4 linked regions of the Drosophila melanogaster genome follow. The protein of the gene in region 3 interacts with the protein of the main gene of each other region in a pairwise test. Each region holds a gene or a part of one and is shown on either strand. Other genes may lie near its edges. The genes, in order: S6kII, CG14367, mxt and eIF4E5.

Region 1 (7,768 bases), on a different chromosome or scaffold from region 3:
TTTTGGATATCCCAATTAGATCGAAACAATTCGAATTGGTTATTTGTTTTTCAATTAGGTTCCTTCTGCTTGGTTTGAAAAATTCAACTTAACAATAATTTCGAATCAGTTTCGTTGAATATGTTTATTAATTAAATGATTCATATCGGAATTCAATCATTTGAATGTATGTATAGTCTGGAAGCTGTTAAAATCTACTAAGAAAATATATTCACGCATTCATATATATGATTAAGATATATATGTATGTTCTTGGGGAATTTAGTCGAGAGTTGGCTTTAAAGTGGGTTGCTTGTATTGTATGCTTAAACTATCTGTTGTCTCTGTCCTTTTTGTGCAACCCGAACATTTTTGTAAGAGACCGTTCGGAATTATTGATAAATGATTACAGTTTTTATCATAGTAGGCCACTTTTGTATACATGAGTTTTAATCTAATCGCTGGATTAGATTTCTCATCAGCCCGTGGACTAAAATTCTTTTTCTGCCTGTCTCAACTTCGTTTTATAATTTGTGTATGAATCTGTTAAAAAACGAAGCAGGGAAACGACGTATCCCTTCAATTTGGTTGTCGTCATTTCAAAACAAGGTAATTAAGTATAAATCATTGCTGTAGACGCAACATATTTTGCAAAAGTTTATCGTGACAACTATTAGGCGAAATGTTCATCTCAAGATCCTTCTTAAATATTTTCTATATTATATGTCAATGTGTACACATTGTTTTCCCTCCGCAGCTAGCTAATTATATATGTACTTTAGGATAATCATACCATTTTCCCCCTCCAACTCCTTTTAATAACACCACGAAAATACAGTTTTATTCAAGGGATGTTATCCTTTTTTAAAAAATTTCTAAGTTTTACTAACCTTGTTTAGGTGGTGTAAATATGTATATGAAGTTATTGTTTTATTTTTGGTAGCAGTAAGTTCAGTAGTGGCACAGCACAATAATCCTTTAGCACACACACACATGCACTTACAAGAAGCACACACACAGCCTCTTATGCACACACACAAGCTCGCAAACAAGAAACTTCTGCTTTTCAAGTGGCATACATAGCTTCTAAGGATTCACATGGCTCTTCTACATAATTTATTCAATTTCGTTCCACTTTGCTTGTATTTTCTTTTTTTTTTTTTGTATATTTCCCTCTAGCATAATTTTAACAAGTTTTCCTTGGCAAAAATACAACAAAATTGGAATTGTCTTCGAAGAGTCGAAACAAGTTGTTGGGAACTGATGATCGTGCAGTTTTTAGAGAAACTAGCACAAACAAATGGAATTCTCTGCATTAACCCAAGTCGTTTATACGACGCTATCCTATTTGTATTCAGTACGAGTATGATGGAATATATCGCGGTTTCGGTTCTAAATCATCCAATGGTAAGTCGGAACTTTCTATATCTGGTTACAGCGCAAAAAGGTATATTGTTTGATATAATTTCTGTTGGAAGACGTTAGCAAACAAAATGGAAACCCAATTTGATGTTGTCACAACTGTTTCCCCGGCGTTATTACAACTAAACTGTGCGTTTCGCGACTGTAAGACAAGTTAGCAGGATTTACGTTTCTTAATTACAATTAAATAACAATATGCACCCTTGTGCAGTGTTGGAAAGAACGTCGGTTTTTATTGTTTAGGGAATTATTAATAAAATACTCTTTTCTAATATCCTTTGCCTTATAAACCCGAAAAGCACAGTTTCCGCTTTATGTACACATTCTGTATAATATGGTAGTTATGTTTATCTTTTGCTTAGTTTCATATTTCATTGTGCAAATTGACATTCCAAGTAAGAATTGTGGAAACTCTTGTGGTTTGATTTTCTTATCTTTCTACACAGTTTTTTTTGGGTTCTTTGTTCTTCCTTTATAGTTTGGCGAAAAAAGTTATTATTATATAAAAGGATTGCGGCTTTTATTCTTAATTTTTGTTTGTTTTGCTAATACTTTTTTCCATTTTTTTTTTCATTTTAATTAATTTAATTAAGCAACAATAACACGGTGATGTTGAAAAATTTAGCTACGATTAATTTAATTAAAAATATGTAAACTTGGGCGAGAGGCTTTTTTTTAATTTCCAGTTTGGGATAAATAATGTGGTTTCAGGAATCATCTGGGATGATCCTGGCGCCACATTCACACGCGCTCTCTAGGCCCTTGCTTTAGGATTCGTTATATAAATAGCTATATATAGATGTATATCAGTATTTGTATAGTTATATATATGTGTATATAGATGCCCCGCACAGTGCGTTATGGCCTTGGCATATTGGCATGCTTTCATATAAAATAAATAATTAACACTTGTCAAATACTTTAGGTTAGGCCGATTCCCCCAAAACCTAAACCACACGCAGCTTGGCGCTGCGGCAGCGTTGGCGAGGATTGCCCAGCGTTTGTGGATGTGAACCAAGCTTCTGCGCATTGTCCTTGACAAGACGACGCGGATTGGCACAGCAGCATTGGATTAGAATACTATAGATTCGGAAAAGTAGTCGGACTATCTGCCGCTTGGCCTGGCGCCGCGGACACCATGCAGCCGCCCAGGATTAGGAGTGCAGGTTGGCTCGATCTTTGGCCCGCCTCTTGGCGAGCATGGAAAGTTCTACGGGTCCCACATTCGCCGCCTGGGGTATGGCAATAGCCCGGAAAGTGGCATCAACAGCGCCTCTTAAGGCCATGGAGATGTGATTCTGCTGCTGCTGCTGGGCGCCCAGCGAAAGTTGGGATCCGGGCGCCACCGCATACTCTGTAAGCTGTACGCCGCCGGCGAATTGCTCCCGCAGCCAGTCGTGCTCAAGTATTCGCGCCGCCGTCGGCCGATTCTCCGGTACTATGTGTAGCATCTGACGCAAAAGTTCTTTGGCCGGCACACTGATCAGTGCCCAGCGACTGCTTGTGAAGTCAATTTGTCCTGATCCGATGCGCTTCAGTATTACGTCCGGTGAATCATTTGGAGTGCTGGCGAAAGGCGTCCGGCCGGATAACATGATGTAAAGCAGCACACCGAGCGACCAGATGTCGCAAGCCAGGTCATAGCCCTGTCTCTTTAGAACCTCGGGAGCCACAAAATTGGCTGTGTAGCATGGCGTCATCAGGAGGCCGTTGTCCGCGCGCAGCTGCTTCGCGAAACCTAAGCGGAAATCGGAAGGTTACTCCTGCTCTACCAACAAGAAATACTCGCACAGAAAAATATATAGCCTTGCAGAAATAAATGCTTTCTGAATTTAAATATTATCAAATGATTTCAATTGCAATAGGATGGAACTTTGGCTAAATAAGATCTTAAAATGAAAAACCTTCTGTTTGGAGAAAAGAAACCTTTAAAATTGCAAATAACAAAGTAACTTAGAAAACAAATAATAGTTAAAGGAATTAAAAATTACGAAAGTTTAGCTTTTAAAGTGAATCATGTTTGTCAGCAATTGGAAAATTTACTGCAAGGCTATAATAAAATATATTTAACTAGTTCCGCTCCGCACTCACCCAAATCGCAGAGCTTTAGGGTCTCGGGAGTTTGCCGCATACTGGCATATATCATATTTGAAGGCTTAAGATCTCGATGGACCACGCCATGTTCATGGAGATATGCTACCGCAGATGCAATTGTCCTTAACACCGCGCTGGCCTCACTCTCGCACATCTGGCCCACGGCAAGTATCCGATCGAGAAGCTCGCCACCCTTAAGCAGCTCCATCACAAGATATGCGGACCCCGCATCCTCGTAAACAGAGTACAGAGTGACGATATTTGGGTGGTTGCCGTACCTCAGCATAATCTCCACCTCCTCCCAACAATCGGCAGAAGTGGATGTGGATGCTGCGGCCACAGCTGCCTTTTCGATTACTTTTACTGCGTAATGTTTCTTGGAGGCTCGATGCTCGCACAACCGACAAACTGAAAAGGTTCCACGTCCCAGTTCTTGCAGTAGATTATATTCCGCATGGAAGTTTCCGGGAAGAACACCAGGTAATGTTCGAGGGGCTCCCACTGGAGCAGCAGGAATAGGAGCTATACTATGCAGAGGACTGGCGCTGGTGGAGCACATATTCGAGCCAGCACACTGACCTTCCAGAAGGACAGGAGCCACAAAGCTGAACCCGCGGAAGATCTCATGGGCAGATGCGGAGATCGGGCCACCCGGAGAATCCCTGGGGGACTTTGAGGTGTACTCCACATCAAAGTAAAAGGCATCGTCACGGCTAACCGCCGGTATGAAAGGCGGACGCACCTGCTTTCGTTCTAATCTCACCCAGTCGATGGTGGCAAAAAAGCAGTGCGCCTTGATGTCCAGAATTCCTTGGGCACCCGCACCCAAACGATTCTGGGGGTTTCTTTTGAAGAGAGCACGTAGCAGGGATTGCGCCTCTGGCGACAAATTCTCCGGCATGCCCAGCTTACTTCTAAGGATCTGATTCATAGTCTCTTGGCGGGTTTGGCCATGAAAGGGTAAATTCCCCGTTAACATTTCGTACATGAGCACCCCGAAACTCCACCAATCAGCGGCAAAATCGTGTCCCTTTCGGTTCACGATCTCCGGCGCCATGTATTCTACGGTTCCACAAAAGCTATATGTTTTTGAGCCATCCAAAGGCTGCTTGGATAGACCAAAGTCCGTCAAGGCTATATGGCCATGCTCGTCCAGTAGAATATTTTCCGGTTTCAGATCCCTGTAGATAATGCCCAATGTGTGTAGGTGATTCATAGCTAGCGCCAGTTCCGCTAAATAGAACTTGACATCTTCTTCCGTAAACATTACTTCTTTGGATAGACGGGTAAACAGATCACCGCCACGAAGAAAATCCAGTATCAAGTAGAGTTTTCCGGGAGTTTGGAAGGCATAGTGAAGACGTACGATGAAAGCATGACCCACGTCCGCTAGTATTTTTCGTTCATTTGTGCTCCTTACGCGATCTTTTACTTTTAGGGTGGCCTTTTTGAGCACCTTCATGGCATAGAGTGTTCCTGCATCTTTGCCTATGATCTTTCGCACTAGAAACACCTTTCCAAAGCTACCTTCGCCCAGAACCCGTAGGAGCTCGAACTGGGAAGGATCGGCCTTGTCGTGACCCTCCTTGATGACTTCCTTAAGCTCGAATTCGTTTTCTGTTTCATATAGGGGCTCGGTGTCTTCTAAATCAGGTGCACTTCGCCCAGTAGCCCCTTCTCTCCTACCGCCAGTTTCCACGCCTCCCTGGGACTCGGAATCACTCAGCTCCATAAGTTCTGGCGGCGGGCACAAGGTTCGATGCGTCGGCCTTTTCCTAGCGGAATCCAAGTCTGCTGTTGGTGAGATGTGATGCTGCTCGAGGGCCGCTTGCAGAGCAGATTGCTGTTGCACCTGTTGCAGCTGCTGGCGGCGTTGCGATGATGTCACAGTGGTCACCGAGGAAGTGACACCGCTGTTGCCTCCGCCACTCTCATCGTCCTCGGTGGGCGTGTGCTCCATGGGCGTGACCGCCAGGCTGCTGCAGCCGGACGAGGTAATTTGCATGCGCTGGCGCAGCTGCAGACCCAATCCGCTGCTGCTGCATTGCTGCTCCGCATTGTTGCTGCTGCTGGTGGAGGACACATGCTGCTGCTGCTGCTGCTGCTGAGGCTGCTGGCGGAGATCCTTTTGCGAATCGGCCAGCGGCATGACTTCGGTGGCTGCTAGCGTTGTGAGGCAACTGCTCCTAGCGGTTCCTTTGTTTCCAGATCCTGATGCACAATGCTAGAGCCCGAGTTCCCCCTGCGTTTCCAACTCCTCCTGCTGCTCCTCCTCCACCGAACTCTCCCTACTTCCGATTTCACTTTTCTTTTTTATTACTTCCGCTGCGTGGGCGTCGCAGTCGACTGCGCTGTTGCCTCTCCGGATTTCTCTGGTTTCCCTGCTGCTCCTACGGCCAACAAGCAGCGCTTTCCTAATGCGCCCACGTTTCGTACGCCGTCTGCTTTACTATCCGCTTCGCAATCCGCACAGCTGTGTTGCTTCTTATCACTATTATTTACACATTCACAATAAAGTTTTTTTAGAGCTGCAAAAAAATCGATGTTACCATCGATTACATCGATAGTTTCAGTTTTCCGAAAACATCGATTTACTTTTTGCAGCCGATGTTTTTACTGTGCGTATTCAGCAAATTTTTGTTTACACTTTTAATACATTCTTTCGGTTTTAAAAGTCTATATAACTCAATTAAAAAAAAAAAAACATATAAATATAGTTTTATTTGAGAATGATTTGGCCCGTGTGACCGTGTCTAGCAATATACCAAACGCGAAAAATACCAATTCATTACGAAAACGTCGTCACGAAACAAGTTATCTTGTGTAAACCGTCTAAAAACCGTTATTATAAATTTCTATATCCCTTTTATATTGATTTCCGGAAACTTTGCTAAATAAATACAACGGTTTTGCAGACTTACTTACTTATATTAGCCGCAACATTCCAAATTCAATTGGTAAAAAACTAATGGATATCGTACAAGCGCTTTTAAAAACAATAAAAAAAAAAACATTGTGCTTATAGATTCAGTATTATTATTGCTTCAAAAGTGGACAACAACCACTTTTCATATATAAAAGTAGGAGTAGTAGGAGTAGCTTACTTACTTAGTGCAAATCTGAAGGGCGCAACGATAGACGGATACAATACTGACCACAAAATGAAGAAACAGGGCAAAAATTAGGCCGCAGGCAGCGGAAACCTCGCTGTTGGTATCGATCAAGTCGAACTAGAATGGATGAAACCATTAAAAAAACATGCCTCAATGCGAAGAGCCCGGCTTTACCTGTTCACCCTTTTGCTCCGCCATCCTGTTGAGGTCCCTTGACAATCCCACGCCGGAAATAGCCAGAGCCAGGGTGCTGCTGGCGATGCAGACCAAACTGAGGGCCAAAAACGCTGTCTGGGTTTTGCGCATGCTCACCACTCCAAGGGAGCCCGTAACGGCTGCTATCAATCCCGTCCAGATGCCGCATCCCGCCAGTGAGAGCGCTGCCTCTCGGACGATCAGAAGTGATCCCAGGGCCACCAGCGATATGGCCAGGAGCAACTGGAGAGTGCCCAACACTATTTGCAGTGGAAATGCCGAGCAGCATTCATTGCTCGCCTTGCGCTTGCGCCGATCTTTCGAGGAAAGCGATGAGCCACTGCCTCCACCCTCGCTGCCCTCCTTGTACTTAATAAATTCCGGTGGACAGCGCTGTTTACGACTGATCCTGGAGTCCAAAGTGGTGGCCCCACTCTTAGTGCCATTCACCTGCACAGAAGAAAAAATGTGTTTGGTACAATATTCGATTGTCTGAGGATTAATGAGAGCAAGGCAGTACAGAAATGGACAATTAAAGATTCTCTAGCCCTATTAGGTGATTCAACTGATACAAATTGATTAATTTTGGTTGACTTTTTGTAGGACCTACCTGGTTTGGTTGCCGCGAAGCAATAGCTTCCTGCAGCTGTTGTTTGAACTCTTGGTGCGAAATAAGATTGGGCTTATTATCGTCATCATTGTTTGCCTGGGATTTTTGGGCATCCAAGTCTAGGGCGGCGGATAGGAGTTTCACCGCCGGCGGCTTCTCATCGTAGACAGGACTCGAATAGATGTGACTTTGGGCATCCTGGCGCGCCTGCTCCTGGTCCTCCTGCTGTTTTCGATTCTCATCCCGTTGAAGCATGCCGATTTGCGAGTTGGTCAGACTACCGCCCGATCCCGCCAAGTTCGTGGTATTCGTGCTATGTTCGATGGTGGTCACCACCTGATGGAGTTCCTCAGGA
Region 2 (3,779 bases), on a different chromosome or scaffold from region 3:
ACGGAGTTTGGTGTCTTGAATACACTGCGTGAACTAAACATTGCAAACAATCGGTGGGTATTGGGAAATATCTTTTCTAAACTATGTAGCTTTATTTAAACTTCCCACTTGTTTATTTTCAGCTTTCCGTGTATTCCCAACTGTGTGTACGAGCTGCAAGGCCTGGAGATCCTCATTGCCAGTGAGAACCACATAAAAATGTTAAATGTATCGGGTCTGCAGAACATGCGACGTTTGAGCACATTGGATTTGCGCAATAACGACATCGAGACAGTGCCACCAATTTTGGGGAACCTGACAAACATAACGTAAGATCCTTGCTGGGGATATATATTGTTTGGAGCCAAACTTATTTTCTCTGTATATTGCAGTCACTTGGAGCTGGTGGGCAATCCATTTCGACAGCCCCGCCACCAAATCCTGATGAAGGGCACTGACGCCATCATGTCGTATTTGCGCGATCGCATACCCACATAGAAGAGCAATTCACACCGTTTTTTGAGAAACACTTCACTAGCAATATGTTTATTTTGAGGAATAGCGTAATGGAAATTGATAGATCCGCTCGACCATGCCCACAAACAATCAATCTATGGATTGGCTGTTTGTGGACATGGATGAGGGGTGGCGTTACAAGTACAACATACGACACACACCGTGCATCAACCAACCAAACTAGTCTGCATGCCACAATACCTAATGCACGTTGTTAATCCTGGCTGAGTATCTGCAATAAATGGGAATAGTAGGGAAAAAAGTGCGTCCTTTCTTTCACTTCTGCTCAACCACTTCGCTGCGCAAGCGCTTGGCAAGATTGCGTCTGAGCTGCAGGGCAGCGTTCTCCTCAGCTTCTAGTGGTGCCGGCATGGAGAGCTCCTTAGTCTGGCCGCCATTCTCGAGCAGCTGTTGGGCCACCAACGCGGAGCTGGGACGTGCTCCTTCCGGTGCATGTGGAGTACCGCGGGACATGGTCTCTTGCAGTTGCTTTGCACGCGTCTGCTTCTTTATCTCCACAATCTTGTCACGCTGTTGGCGCAGGTACTCCTGCCGCGAGACAACATCACTGGGGTCCACACGATCCTCCTGCTCGAAGAACAGATTCAGGCGCTGGAACTTGTCGTTAACCAGCTCCAGATTGGGCTCCTGCTCTGGAGTTAGGGCCGCTTCGGGGCTCTCCAGTTCGTCAGACACCGTCTTGGCTATCATTTGTTCCACCTCGGAGGCGGTATCCCTGTTCAAAGTATAATGTTCATATATAATATATATATGCGATATAGAATAATGACCAAAAAACAAGAAGTATTGATTACTAATTACCAAAACCCGTGTACAATTTGGTTGGCAAAGTGCCTACAATTGCATAAGACATCATTACCCACCCTGGATCCGAGCTAGCGTCCGCACTGCGGTCATCCCCCTCCTCGACGCCACCAGGGGCTAATTGATTTTTCTCTATGAGATCCAGGGCCTGCAGCTGAAGCTCCACGTTGCGTTGCGTCATCATCCGTATGAATATCTTCAGATCGTTGGCGGCCCATATCTGAAAGATGACATCTTGGAGACACGACTGTGTGAGATCGTGCGACCGCACATACCTGCTGGAAAAGCACCTGGTGGAAATGAAAGGGATTCTCGCCCTGACCCTGCTGCCTACCCTCCAGACAGGCCATTTCGAACTGCTCCGGTGATATCTGCATCTCCTCCATGAAGCTGCCGAGCATGTAGTCCACCAGATTCTTGTATTCCTCGTGTATCTGCAGTATGTCCGGATTGTTCTCATCCAACTGCTGGTTGGGATCGAAGACTGCACCAAATCCCTGCGTTACTGGCGATTACATTTTCTGAGTGGACTTCTCACCTAAGGACTTTTGCTCTATGAACGTCTGAAGCGGAGCATTCCAAATGGGCCCGTGCAGGAAGCACACCAGCGAATCGAAAACCCAGGAGTCTTCCACCGACATTTTAGCTACAATTGAAAGAAGTGACTAAACTGCATAGTCGACATTTGTTTGGTCCTTGAATCGGTTGCCATGGCAAATGAAAAACCACCCAGCACCAAACACCTGACAGTCAGGTATTTGCTGCTATATTGAATAAAATAACAACTTGAGAGCTTTGCCATTTGTTTCTGTTTAAAAACTATTAAAAACTATTATTTAATTTACTCATAATAATAATATAGAGTTATATATATCGCATTTTACGCACGGATGTTTTAACAACTAAATAAAATATTCAAATTATAGACGTAATGGGTATGTGTTAGGATTAGGGATTAGACAGCATATCATATACAATACACGATTCATATAAATACTATGTATAAACTATAGTGTTGTCGCTTTACGTTTACGCTTAGTTTTCGTTATCGTTTTCATTATCATTTTGTTTTGTTTTCGTTTCTGTTTCTTGTTGTTATCCTTGTTCTTGTTAATGCTGCTCAATCAAACAAACAAAAACATCAACTTGGAAGGACAAATGTTTGGATACACGTATTCCCCGTCTATTTTATTGGTGTACTATCATAGGTATAGATCGTGGACTTCGGGAGTGGGAACGATCGGTTGCTCGGGGGAAACCGTTTGCAGTGACAAGTTCTTTAAACACTAAAATAAATAAATGTAGTACAGTACGCAACGCACATGGCAAATACGATTATTAACAAATAACTTTATTACTTTCTGTCAGTGTAGCTGTGGGATGTCAATTGGTTTCAGTGTGTGAGCGAGCGTATGAGTGTGGATTGAATTGGATTGGATTGGTTCCAAGTGAGCCCTACTACATTCGTTAAATACAAATTAATATTATAGTTAAATACGAAAAAAACTTACTCGAAAACTCAAGAAGACTATTTTACTTAAGACTTTATTTTATTGTTATCTCTGCTTGCTGATGTCTGTTTGCCCCACATTAGTTTAACTTTACGTCCTATTTGTTATCATTATCATTAATAATTTATTGATGTGTGTTGTGTTTTTGTTTGTGTGTTTCAATAATGCAAGGATAGCGCAACAATTGTTTGTAATTACACAGTCAATTACACAGACAACACATCTCAAGACTCTGGATTTCGAACAGCACGATAATGTGCAAAGATTTCGATATCTCCAAGTGCAAATATATGCGTTTAATGTCGGCGTCAGTGGTGCAAGGGCAGTTATCAACTAATCGCGCATTGAGAGTGACTAAATTATATACAAGGTTCATTGGGTTCAAGTGTTATCTGCATTTAACTCAAGGGGCCGGCTAACAAACTTCGTCAAGTTGGCCCTGGCAATCTGGTTGATATTCAGAAAACAATCGCAATTACACAAAAAACAGAAGCAATCCTAATGGAAAAAAAAACATTTTACTGCTGTGGGAATAGTTTAAATTTTAAAATTAAAAACATCTATTTACAGCACTGCTTGCAATAGAAACTTTCATAAAATGCTTTCGCGATAAGAATTATTTAATGAAATTGTCAAGTGAAAACAGCGCTGTATCGTGATAGTGATAGTACAATTGGCAGAAAATCCATCTCAATGGTGAGAAGGATCGTAAAAATGGTTAAGTCTAGGCTTTAGAACTAAATACACCCTTTTGCAATTGTTATTTAAATATCGACACGAAAGTATTGCACAAACATTCTGGGCCAGCAGCCAACTTCACAGGATCTGTTAACTCATACGATCTCATACGATAGACATTGCAAATGGATGTGCTGGCGCTGGCTGTATACAAATCTCCCTCACCACCTGACCACACCTCCATTGCGCTGGCGCTGCTGCTGCTGTTCA
Region 3 (6,859 bases):
GGTAATTTCTAGGGTTAGTTTGCATATTTTTCAATATTCTTTTTTTTTTGTTTGTTTTGTTTTGGTCGTTTTGAGTTTGCGATTGTTAGATGTGGCCATGGCCAAAAGCATTGAAGCATACTGCAGCTCCGTCTGGGAGCAGGCACTTCACCCCGGGACACTCTATATTGTCAGTTCGAGCCGCTCGATTGATGGCTTTATTCGTCCAGAGTCTCGACCTCATCGGCAGCCACAATGTCTCGCTTGGCGGCCGTCTTAATGCTGGCCAGATACTTATCACCATCGAAGCGCTGGCTCTCATCCTGCAGATCCTGTTGTCGAACAAAGAAATGGTTTAATATCTGATTTCAAAGTAACATTGACACGCAAGCTATCCAGGGATGAACGAACATATATACATACGGAACAGTTTAGTAACTAAGTTAGCCATCTGGAGTGGTGGTTAGGTGGTGATGTTATGATGCTTCGGTGGTAAAACACAAGTTACAATTTATAATTTACAATGTGTGGGGTGTGTGGTGGTGTAAGTTAAACCCAGCCAAGCTTTGTTACGGACTTTGAAAGTCCTGTTTATTAGTTAATATAAATCGTATTGATTACAGATTTGTAAATGTTGGTTTGAATTCGAGAATGTTTGTTTGTTAGCGGTTAAGCGGTTTCAACCGCCTTTCCAGCTTATCCTTAGCGACGACTTAATCTGTTTCACAGCCAAAACACAGATTCTCCCTATAGTTACATTTTAATTTCAATGCATTATATGTATTGTTACCTCTAAGACTAGCGATCGGTTTGGTTTCGATGGTATGTCGTTAATCTAATGACTGGATGATGATAATGATAATGATGTATTGACTTGATTCATTATCAAGTTCTTCACGCTTCACCTTTTCTTAATGATAAGTTATATAAAATTAAAACAGCAAAAATACTGACATGAAAAGAAAAGCCTATCTGTGACTGAGATTCAATAATACGTATTCCGGCTACGTAAAATTAAATTAAATTAAATGAAATTAAATGAAATTACACATAAACGCGGTTATTATTCGATTCTGTTTCGCACAGTGCCAATGAAAACTCATCGTCCTCGCAGTAGCGTTGAAAAATTGCCTTCACTTGTGATGTTTGATAGCTAGACTGGCGATGCTTTCCTTGTGTTGCCACCGATTGACCCACAGTATTAGTTATGATTTGCAATTGCTTGTTATACAGGTTTCGATCGGACACGGCCGATGTTTTGGGAAGGCGACGGTTCTCGCGTTCGGCGAAGATCCCTTTTGATTGCTTGTTAGTGACGGTTAGGGGATTGTTGTCTGCCGACGCATCGACAGCAGCTAGTCCAACGGCGGTGCTGATGATATTTGTGTTCGGGGAGGAGGTTATTGCATTTAAAGCCCACGGATGTGTTATTACTGATGAGTTAGGTGCACTGGCGATGATAGCATCGGGGATGTTCGAAGAGTAAGCCGTACGGCCAAGTGAGCCATCGAACGGCGAAATTACCTTGTTGCGCAGAATCGAGGGCGCTGTCTCCTGCATCTTTTGCCAGTCGGTGGGCAGGGTCCACGAGTGCGGACTCATGGAGTAGTAGAGCAAGTGTTCAATATCGTAAGAAACGCGAGCTGTAATTTAAGTTTAAGCATCAAAGACTTGGTTAAGCATAAAAGGATTGTAATCTTACATGCATTGCTTTTCAAGGAATTGGTGCCTGCCAAATCGTCCAAGTCACCCTTTTCCCGAGCGCCCTTGGTCTCCGGCGTGGACTCCTTGCGCGAAAAGTGGCTGCGACGCGATCTGGCCAGTCCATTCTGATTGCTAGTCGATGATCCTCCATTGCTGGGCTCAGCGAACACCTCGTCGTCGCCTTCACCATTGTTGTTCGCTGACGAGGAAACAACGCAATTCAGTCCAATGCCACTGTCCGTGCCGGGCAGCCAAAATTGCGGCGGCCCGGCTCCGGGAAGCGGAGTCGATGGCGTGGTCACCAGCGAAGTGCCGTCGAAGGCGGCGCCAGCCTCAATGGATGCCAGAAACTCCGAGCTGCTAAAATAGTCATCGAGCACGAGTTTGGCCACCTTGAAATCGCAGGGGATTTAACAAATTTCACAATTGAAAACTTCAACATTACTCACGCGCACTAGTTCGCAGCAGTCGCCGGTGATCTTGATCAGGTGCTGGCCCACGTTGACCGTGAACTTGTATTCACCTACGGAAGCATCGTTTGTGGAATATGAGTGCATTAGCAGCTGTTGATTGGGACGCAAGACTTTACCGGCAGCGGCTGTCGCCTGAGCATGTGCCGCCGCTGCTGCTGCGGCGGCTACTGCGGCGACCTGCTGCTGCTGTTGGTGCTGCAGGTGATGCGTTTGGTGGTGCATCTGCTGCGAGATCTGCTGTGCAGCAGCTGTGGCGGTCATGAAGTTTTGGGCCGAGTTAAAGCTTAGCCGGTTGGCCAAACTGCTTCCGGTTGGCGTTCTTGGTTGCACAATGGCGTCGTCCGAGTTGGACGAGTTAAGCGAGGAGCAGGATCCTCCAACGGCAGGAGCGGGTTCCAGGCGCACCGGCGAGGCGTTCCGACGAATGGTGTCCTCCATAAGTTGTTTGGCATAGCTGTCGTAGAATTAAAACATTTTGACATAAAGGTAAATTAGCTTTAATTTATTTACTTTACTCACTTAATTTTATCCTCAGCTGGACCAGTAATCTGCACCAAACGCTCCTTGGCACCCGGGTTGACTAATGAAAACAAGGCATTCATAATTGTTCTCGAAAAAAGCATTTATATTTATGAAAAATAATTGGGATGCGAAAACATTTAAAAACAAAATGCATATATACAGTATGAAAATATGTGATTTCAAAATGCCTTTAACGATCAATTTTGGCTTAATGTGGTGTCGTTGAATGGACAAAATCTGGAACATGCGTATTTATAATTTCTATTAGTAAATTTTGTAGAAGCCACCGGGCATTAATTGATTTAAATAAGCGTGCCAAATGAAATGGGGGTGCGGTGAGGATCACAATTAAAACCAGCTCTCTGGAGTTACCTCTTTGAAACGATATAATGGTTTCGCTTAGCTCCTCGATCATGTGCACGCGACGCCCCTTGATGCCCATTACTTTTTGGCCACGGGAATGGAGGAATACATTATTGAAAACCATTTCTGTAGATCTGTGTGCTCCAGAACACTCCTCAGCTGATTGAAAAACTTACCTTTGCCGGAGTCAGCATTGCGAATCACGACCTCGTCCTTGCAGTACGTCTTGCCAGGAATCTTGGTCGGTTTGGGGAACTTGCCCGAATTACGAATGACCTCACCGGGCGGCAGCAGCATGTGCTGCTGGTTGGATGTGCCCACGGCCGCAATGGCCGCAGCTTGGGCGGCTGCAGCTGCAGATGCTGCATTGAAGACGGCGGCAGCGGCGGCTGCGGCTCCATCGTTAACGCCACCAACACCGCCGCTGACGCCGAATGTGGGGGAGGTGCTGAAGGCGCCAGGCTGCACGCCGGCATCGTACTGGTATTCCGAAGGCAGCTGCAAAGCAACGATACATATTTGATCGTTTTCCAAAGTGAGATCGATTCTATGTACTCTACTCACCTCCACGTTGGAGATCTGCTGCTTGGACTTGTAGTACGCGATTGTGTCGTCATTGTCCCAGCTCTTGGCGCGCAGCTCGATGAGTTCGAGCAGCTTGAGGCGCGTCGTTATATTCAGCCGTTCGTCCTGCGAAGCGTTGCGGAAAACGACGAAGGCCCGGTCCAGTGTATCCTTGGACACCGCCTCCAGTTGCGGTCCATGCACCCGGAGGTTGTGCAGGAGCAGCGTGATCGATTCCGGCGTGGTGTTGCACGACTGAAGACCGACGGTCACGTTGTCTATCAACTGGATTAGCTCCTCGATCACCAGGTAGCTGTTCTTCAACGACGATCGCGATTGTGTCTTCAACGGGCGTGGCGCCTCAATGTTTTTCACGGCGCGTCCCAGGTGTGTGTGAGCCATTCTCGGGATTCGTTGGATTCGATATCGTCTCGTGAAGAAGTCTTAAGGTTGTCCCGCCTGGTGTCCGGATCTGCTGATTTCAGTCTATATGGTCTGCTAACTTATTCGTTCGTTTAAATGTTGTTGAAGAATTGATCAAAAATGAATCGTAGAAGCTGTTTCCGCACCTCCCCCTGTAAACACAAGAAAGGTTAGTTATCGATCAAATGTATTGTTTACATTAAAACTATTGTACTATTTGGATACATGCTTTCAGCTGCTAGGATGATCAAAGCCGACTATATTGCATTAGAACTTGGGAGTAATGGCCGAGAGCATGGACAACCAAAAGGTTTCTTAGGATATGGAGATTGGCCTCGTTTCCGACCGAATCTCGAATATTGCGACGCAAAGCTCTCGTATATCTTAACGATGTGCACGTTTGATAAGCGGCTTTAGCTGATAACACCGCGATTTATCTATAGTTTAGTGGCCAAATTAACCCATTGGCGCCTTCTGAGCTTCTGGCTTCTGCTCAGTTAATCGGTGCGAAGTTCCAAAAGCAAAATATGTAAATAATTGATGAAAATTGTTGGCATATATCGAATGGGAACGACAAACGGACGACCATTTGTGTTATTTCAGTTCGACTTTCGCTCCATGCGAACAACTCATTTCTTTTTTAAATATCACTTACTGCCGCTGCAGCAACAGCAGCAGCAGCAACAACAACAAGAACAAACAAACATGGGCAACTAAAACACAGCTAACAGAAATATTACAAAAAACTGAAATTGTCCGTGGGAGGGAGAAAGAGAGAGGCGATCGCTCTATTGAATCATATGTCGAGAATAGCAACAACAAGAATGGCCTCTGCCGACGTCGACGATGGCAGCGCAGTTGACGACCGTGTTGGGCGTAGAACAAAAAGGAAGTTAACTTTCAGGAAACAGGGTCTATATATCCATATATTGCATCCGTTTTCGGCCAAAATTCTCTGTGAAATTGAGTAATATTTTAATGGCACTGGCCGCTTTTCGTTAAAATAAGCAAACTACGCGTTTTGCTGGCGACCGACTTTGCACTCTCGTTCTAGTTTCAACACTTTTGATGTTTAGTCTTCGTCGCGCTTATTATTTACTTTAATGGCCGATTGAAACGTCTCTTAAAACGGTGTATTTTGGATCGTAATTTCCAATAAATTACTAGAGCTTACCAAAACCAAAATCTCTGCGACTGCGACTAAAATCGTTTTTTACGGTGGGTGTTGCCACCTGATCGAACACGTTAGATTTTAGAGATGCGCCACAGCTATCCAGACCAGTTCACGTAAAGCGCAGTCAAAAAGCTCACATCAATTTCGCATCACAGATGTGTTCGTATTAAAATTTAAATTTAAATATGAAATAAATGTTACGAAATCAGACACTTATCGCTGATAACCAACAATTCACTATGGTATCTGGACGCTGGGCAATTACTATTCCCCGCCGGTTGTGTCTGCATGGGATCGAAAATGTTAAATATATATTATATTACGTTGGGCATTAATATATCGCTTACTAGTTAACAAATGAAGATTTACTGGTATAGCGGAAAGTTTAGAGAATACATTTGGAAACTACTGTTCTTTTTTAAGAACAACAGGACTCTTAAGAAAATACTTCAGGGGAAACTCCCTAAAATTTTAAGCACGAAAATATCGATAGAAAACATCGGCTGTTCCTTCAATTTGTTGTTATTGAAATTTTTGTTTGCCATCGCTAAGCAAAACTCAAATAAAATTAAGTTGATATATTTATAAAGTGTATTCCCACTCTCTAAGGTGCGAGATGTCTGAAAACGGGGACGTGGAGGCGGCACCAGAGGATTCCAAGGAAGTCGTTCCGGAGTCCGGCAAAGATGAGCCTGAAACTAAGCCGCTGAAAATGTCGTTTGCAGATTGGAAGAAATGCAAGGATGCACTGAAACCGGATACCAAAAGCGGACTACAACGGAGCAACAATAACAATAGTAACAACAACAACAATAACAACAACGGCAACGGACGTAAACATTGGTCTTCGAATAGCAACAATGCCTTTCATGGAGGCGGAGGTCCGCAAAGCTACCAGGACAGGAACTATCCTCCGATGAATCGACCGCCTCCACTTCCTATGCAGCTGATGAACATGGGCTTTGGAGGCAATTTTGGGCCTGGACCCGGACAATGCGGTCCCCCCATGGGGCCAATGGGACCAGGAGGACCTCGCGGTCCCATAAGCAATATGGGTCCCTGTGGTCCCATGAGCAGTATGGGCCCCGGTGGTCCAGTGGGCTTTGGAGGACCACGTGGTTCTGGGCCCCGCCGGAATCACAATCACCGACCTCTGCAGCCGCCTCCGTTCTGGGAGGACATGATGTCGCCACAACATAGACCACCACCAATCCAACCGCCCATGCCCAAGTGCCCCAGCTTGTGGAATCTGGTACCCAAGGAGCAGGGAGCACAAAACAATCGCAGCAATCCAAACCAGAATAACAAGAAATTCAAGGTAAACCATCGCGGCAACAGTGACAAAGATACGAGGCTTATGCCTCCGCCCCCACCGCCAAGCAATGGCAACAATTCGCCGTCAAACGGGGAAGCGCAGCCCTCCAAGAAGCCCAAGCGCTGCGGCACATTTGTCCAGGTCAATGGCCAATGGATACAGAAGCCAGAGGCACCACCGCCGCTCGAGGATGCACCGCCTGGTACGAAGGAGGAGCGCCAGCGCCAGTGGAAGGAGTACCGTATGGCCATGAAGCCCTTTAAAAACCGTGAGTTCCACAACTGGAAGCGAACGGTGCAGCGTTTGGGGAAGCTGCCGCGCGACCAGCTGGACGAGCAGCAA
Region 4 (3,364 bases), on a different chromosome or scaffold from region 3:
CGAGCGTCCAATATTGTTTAGATTGTAAAATGTATTGTTAAGTTGCACCTGTCGATAGGAAGGCTCGCAAATGTTGAAGCGTTTGCCCGAGCTGTCGATTGATCATGATTAACTTGTAAATAGTTCTCCATATGTGTACTCCCGTGCCCGTATAATTGTGTCGCGTCGCTAAATGTAATCAACTACTCATTGCAGTGACTAGGGATCGAATTCACGCACGCACCGAACGATCGATTCGGATGGTTTTCGGTCGGATGATCGCCACACCGCAACAAGCTGTGAATGTTTACTGAGTAAATTTTTTAAAAACCCTATCTTACCATATTGATTATAACTCAACGATTTTGCTTGAGTAGGCAATTACGACCCTAAGTCGTAAGGCGTTCAAAGCATGAAGATGTTTAAGTTAATATATGAACAATGATTAAAGGAAAACATTTTTAAATCAAAGCATTTTTTATTCTTAGCTTTGAAGCTGCAAAGTAGGCAACGAATTACACAAACTTCGACAGTTACCACAATCTCACCCGAAAAGATGCAATTGTTGCGCATAGAAAATTAGGTTTTTAATTTAGTCTATAGAACAATTTTGTAGGGGCAATTCCAAGTAAATATTCATATACACCAAGCCAATCATATCTTCCACACTTACGAATCTGGTGTACAAAAATAAAAATATACTAACGTAGAGGACCTAAACAATCGCTTTCAGAGTGTATAAACCGATTTGACGCCCGAATTGAATTTGGACATTGCATCGGAATGAAGTTGATACTGCAAACTATGCGATTGCAAATGAAGGAGTATCTTCAGCTTCTGGCCGATCTCCAGAATGGCCATTTCGTTACTCCCGTTGGCAGTCCAAACCGCTGTAATAGATACAGTTTTTTATCAATGTGCAGAACACATTTGATAAACTTACAGATTTTGTTGCTCTTGTTACGTATATTGATGACAGCTCCGCAGATCTCGTCGGAGTATTCAAAATTTTGGCCCACCATCAGCAGTAGAATGTCCAGCCAAATTTGATCCAATTCCGCTTTGGCACTCTTACTCACGGTGACCAGCCAGCGACCACCCTTGATGTTGGCTTCATCCTCCCACATGGGTCTTTGGGAGTAGAGGATTTAAGTTAGCATCTCTCAATGAACAATGATTTATTCGTACTTTATGCCCTTCTTGAACACGGAGTAATCGCATCCAATCTTCAGCTCCGCTGGGGTCTTGATGGTATGGTACAAGCTCCAGAAGGTCTCCACACTGTCAATCTCGGTAATCTCGTTTAGCATGTCCTTCCAGTGCTTGGTGCGATCGTTTTCCAAATACCACAAAGTCCACACATGCTCCAAAGGATGCTTGTACTCGACTTGGTATATCTCTTCATCGATAGGTTCTGGGCTATTGCTCTCCAGTGGAACACCTTCGTGGTGATGATGATGCTTATGGATACTATTCAGCTGATGTTGCTGATCCTGCTGCTTCATAATATCAAAACTTTGCACTTGTGCACTGGCCATGTTGTTGGTTGACTTGTTTTTTTTTTTTCGATACGAACAGGTAACCTTAATTTATTTGCTGACGGCTGTGTTCTCAACGAATTTTGTCGCGATTCGAGTGGGAATTGCTTACTAATAACCAAAAATACTTTAGCACATTTTTCTAGACCTAAACGAAACCTGTCGAAAAGAAGGAAATGAAATGACAATGACACCTGGGTGTAAGCATACTATGCTGGTTTTTTCTTTTAATATAAATTATTTTTATTCATTTATAAATACTGCAAAACTTAAGACAAATCAATTTACATATTGTTAACATAGAAATGCGCGCTTGGTCCTTAAAAAAAAAAATAATAACATACAAAATGAAAATGTATGCACTCTATTCCAATGGTCAATTAAACACTAAGCGGAGGCACTAGAGAAAACAAATCGAAACAGCTACGGGGTGTTCAAAATAAAAAAAAACACGGTTTTCGTAACCATATTTGAAAAGATTCTCAATTCTTTTAGAAATACGTTAATAAATTATCTCAAGGCTGGTTTTGAATCATCCACCCGTCTAGACCCATAAAACAGCGGCTGCATCCTCGTTGGACAAAGTGGAGAAGCGCTGGTAGCGATTCGCATTGCGATAGGTTTTCGAGGGCGATGGAGCGGTTGATATCTGAGCTTGAACCTGTACTTGAACTTGAGTCTGATTTTGCATGGGCAGCCCCACCATATTTAATCCGGACTTTAGTGTGGAGTTCCTGCTGTCCGAGGACATGGACAGGCGTCGCTGGTTTCCATTCATCAAGGTGGAACTCAGGGGCAAGCCGACATCGTGAAAGGAGCTAATCGAACTGAAGCCACTCTCATCCTCGGTACTGGAACCGCTCTGCTTATTGCTGGTGGTTTTGTTATTGCTATTGCTGATGGCTGTGTTGCTGGCGGTGGTCTGTGTCTGCGTCTCCTCATCCGTTTCCACTTTCGAGGAGGAGGATGCCGTCGACGAGATGGTGGAATGCACGGAACTGTCGGTGGAGCTGCGCAACGATAGCCTCGAGTCGCGCATGTTGTTGGCCCGCAGAAAGATGAGTTCCGCATTTGATTTCCCGCCCGGTGATGGAGTCTCCAGTGTGGCACTCATGATACTGGTGGAATTGTGCAATGGTGGCGTCAGTAGTGTCATCACCGAACTGGTTTTCCCCTTGCATAGGCGGTGATTTCCCGAGGGCAGCGATGAAATGGAAGCGAGCGAGTGGCGCGGCTGCGTGAGATCTGGTTGCTGTTCCGAGGTGTGCAAAAGATTCCTTATGGTTCTGGCCAAACGAAAGGCCTCCTGATTCAGCTTTTCCTCGGCTGCCTCAGGAGCCGATAGACGTGACTTGCAACCGCCACTGCCTCCAGACTTCTTCGGGGATCGACGCCTTTGGCAGAGAGAAGACATTTCGTTATTAATTGTTTGAAAATTATTAGCACTGCTATTGATCTCCCCTTACCATGTAAAATCCTTGAAGGCATTATAGCTTCCAGCTGGTGCAATCGTCTCGTAATTGTGCTCCTCGTCCATGGCATGCATTGATTTATTCAACATCAAATTGGTGCTGCTCCGGGCGCGTAGATATGAAGCTGATCCGCCGCTGGAGGCGTCATCATCCCGAGCATCGCTCTGCAGGGAGGTGTTGCCCACTCCGTGGACATGATGCAGACTCTTGGAGCGGGCAATCTGCTCTCCATTGCGTTGGGTCTGCTGGAGTTGTTGCTGCAACTGGTAGCGCTCAAAGAAGCGGGCCACCTCCTCCATCACCGCTCGGTACATCTCGCAATTGGTTTCGGTCTGAAATTTAGGATTATAAAGTGATTTAGAATACTTAGGGATT

The links.
Region 1: the proteins of mxt (region 3) and S6kII interact in a two-hybrid assay, tested with the Drosophila melanogaster proteins (one large-scale study listed by BioGRID).
Region 2: the proteins of mxt (region 3) and CG14367 interact in a two-hybrid assay, tested with the Drosophila melanogaster proteins (one large-scale study listed by BioGRID).
Region 4: the proteins of mxt (region 3) and eIF4E5 interact in a two-hybrid assay, tested with the Drosophila melanogaster proteins (one large-scale study listed by BioGRID).

What each region holds. Positions count from the first base shown.
Region 1 is NC_004354.4:22,528,227-22,535,994, reverse strand, and holds the start of S6kII (ribosomal protein S6 kinase II), read right to left. Parts: upstream 6,032-7,768; 5' UTR 5,645-6,031; coding exon 3,493-5,644; intron 3,140-3,492; coding exon 2,556-3,139; 3' UTR 1-2,555. Other genes in the region: CG17600 (uncharacterized protein), read right to left, coding at 6,604-6,725, 6,783-7,253, 7,414-7,768.
Region 2 is NT_033777.3:13,692,235-13,696,013, reverse strand, and holds CG14367 (uncharacterized protein), read right to left. Parts: upstream 1,962-3,779; coding exon 1,859-1,961; intron 1,805-1,858; coding exon 1,596-1,804; intron 1,541-1,595; coding exon 1,380-1,540; intron 1,232-1,379; coding exon 772-1,231; 3' UTR 501-771; downstream 1-500. Other genes in the region: f-cup (flyers-cup), read left to right, coding at 1-53, 123-308, 372-477.
Region 3 is NT_033779.5:4,842,037-4,848,895, forward strand, and holds mxt (mextli), read right to left. Parts: upstream 5,260-6,859; 5' UTR 5,203-5,259; exon of another isoform or gene 5,128-5,202; intron 4,729-5,127; exon of another isoform or gene 4,680-4,728; intron 4,315-4,679; exon of another isoform or gene 4,243-4,314; intron 4,181-4,242; 5' UTR 4,008-4,180; coding exon 3,606-4,007; intron 3,540-3,605; coding exon 3,218-3,539; intron 3,123-3,217; coding exon 3,051-3,122; intron 2,737-3,050; coding exon 2,676-2,736; intron 2,611-2,675; coding exon 2,133-2,610; intron 2,076-2,132; coding exon 1,682-2,075; intron 1,623-1,681; coding exon 1,024-1,622; 3' UTR 548-1,023; downstream 1-547. Other genes in the region: CG11927 (uncharacterized protein), read left to right, coding at 5,819-6,859. UniProt on the Drosophila melanogaster protein: Plays a role in promoting translation.
Region 4 is NT_037436.4:7,893,192-7,896,555, reverse strand, and holds eIF4E5 (eukaryotic translation initiation factor 4E5), read right to left. Parts: upstream 1,677-3,364; 5' UTR 1,518-1,676; coding exon 1,168-1,517; intron 1,111-1,167; coding exon 923-1,110; intron 870-922; coding exon 709-869; 3' UTR 547-708; downstream 1-546. Other genes in the region: CG32365 (uncharacterized protein), read right to left, coding at 2,062-2,911, 2,984-3,321.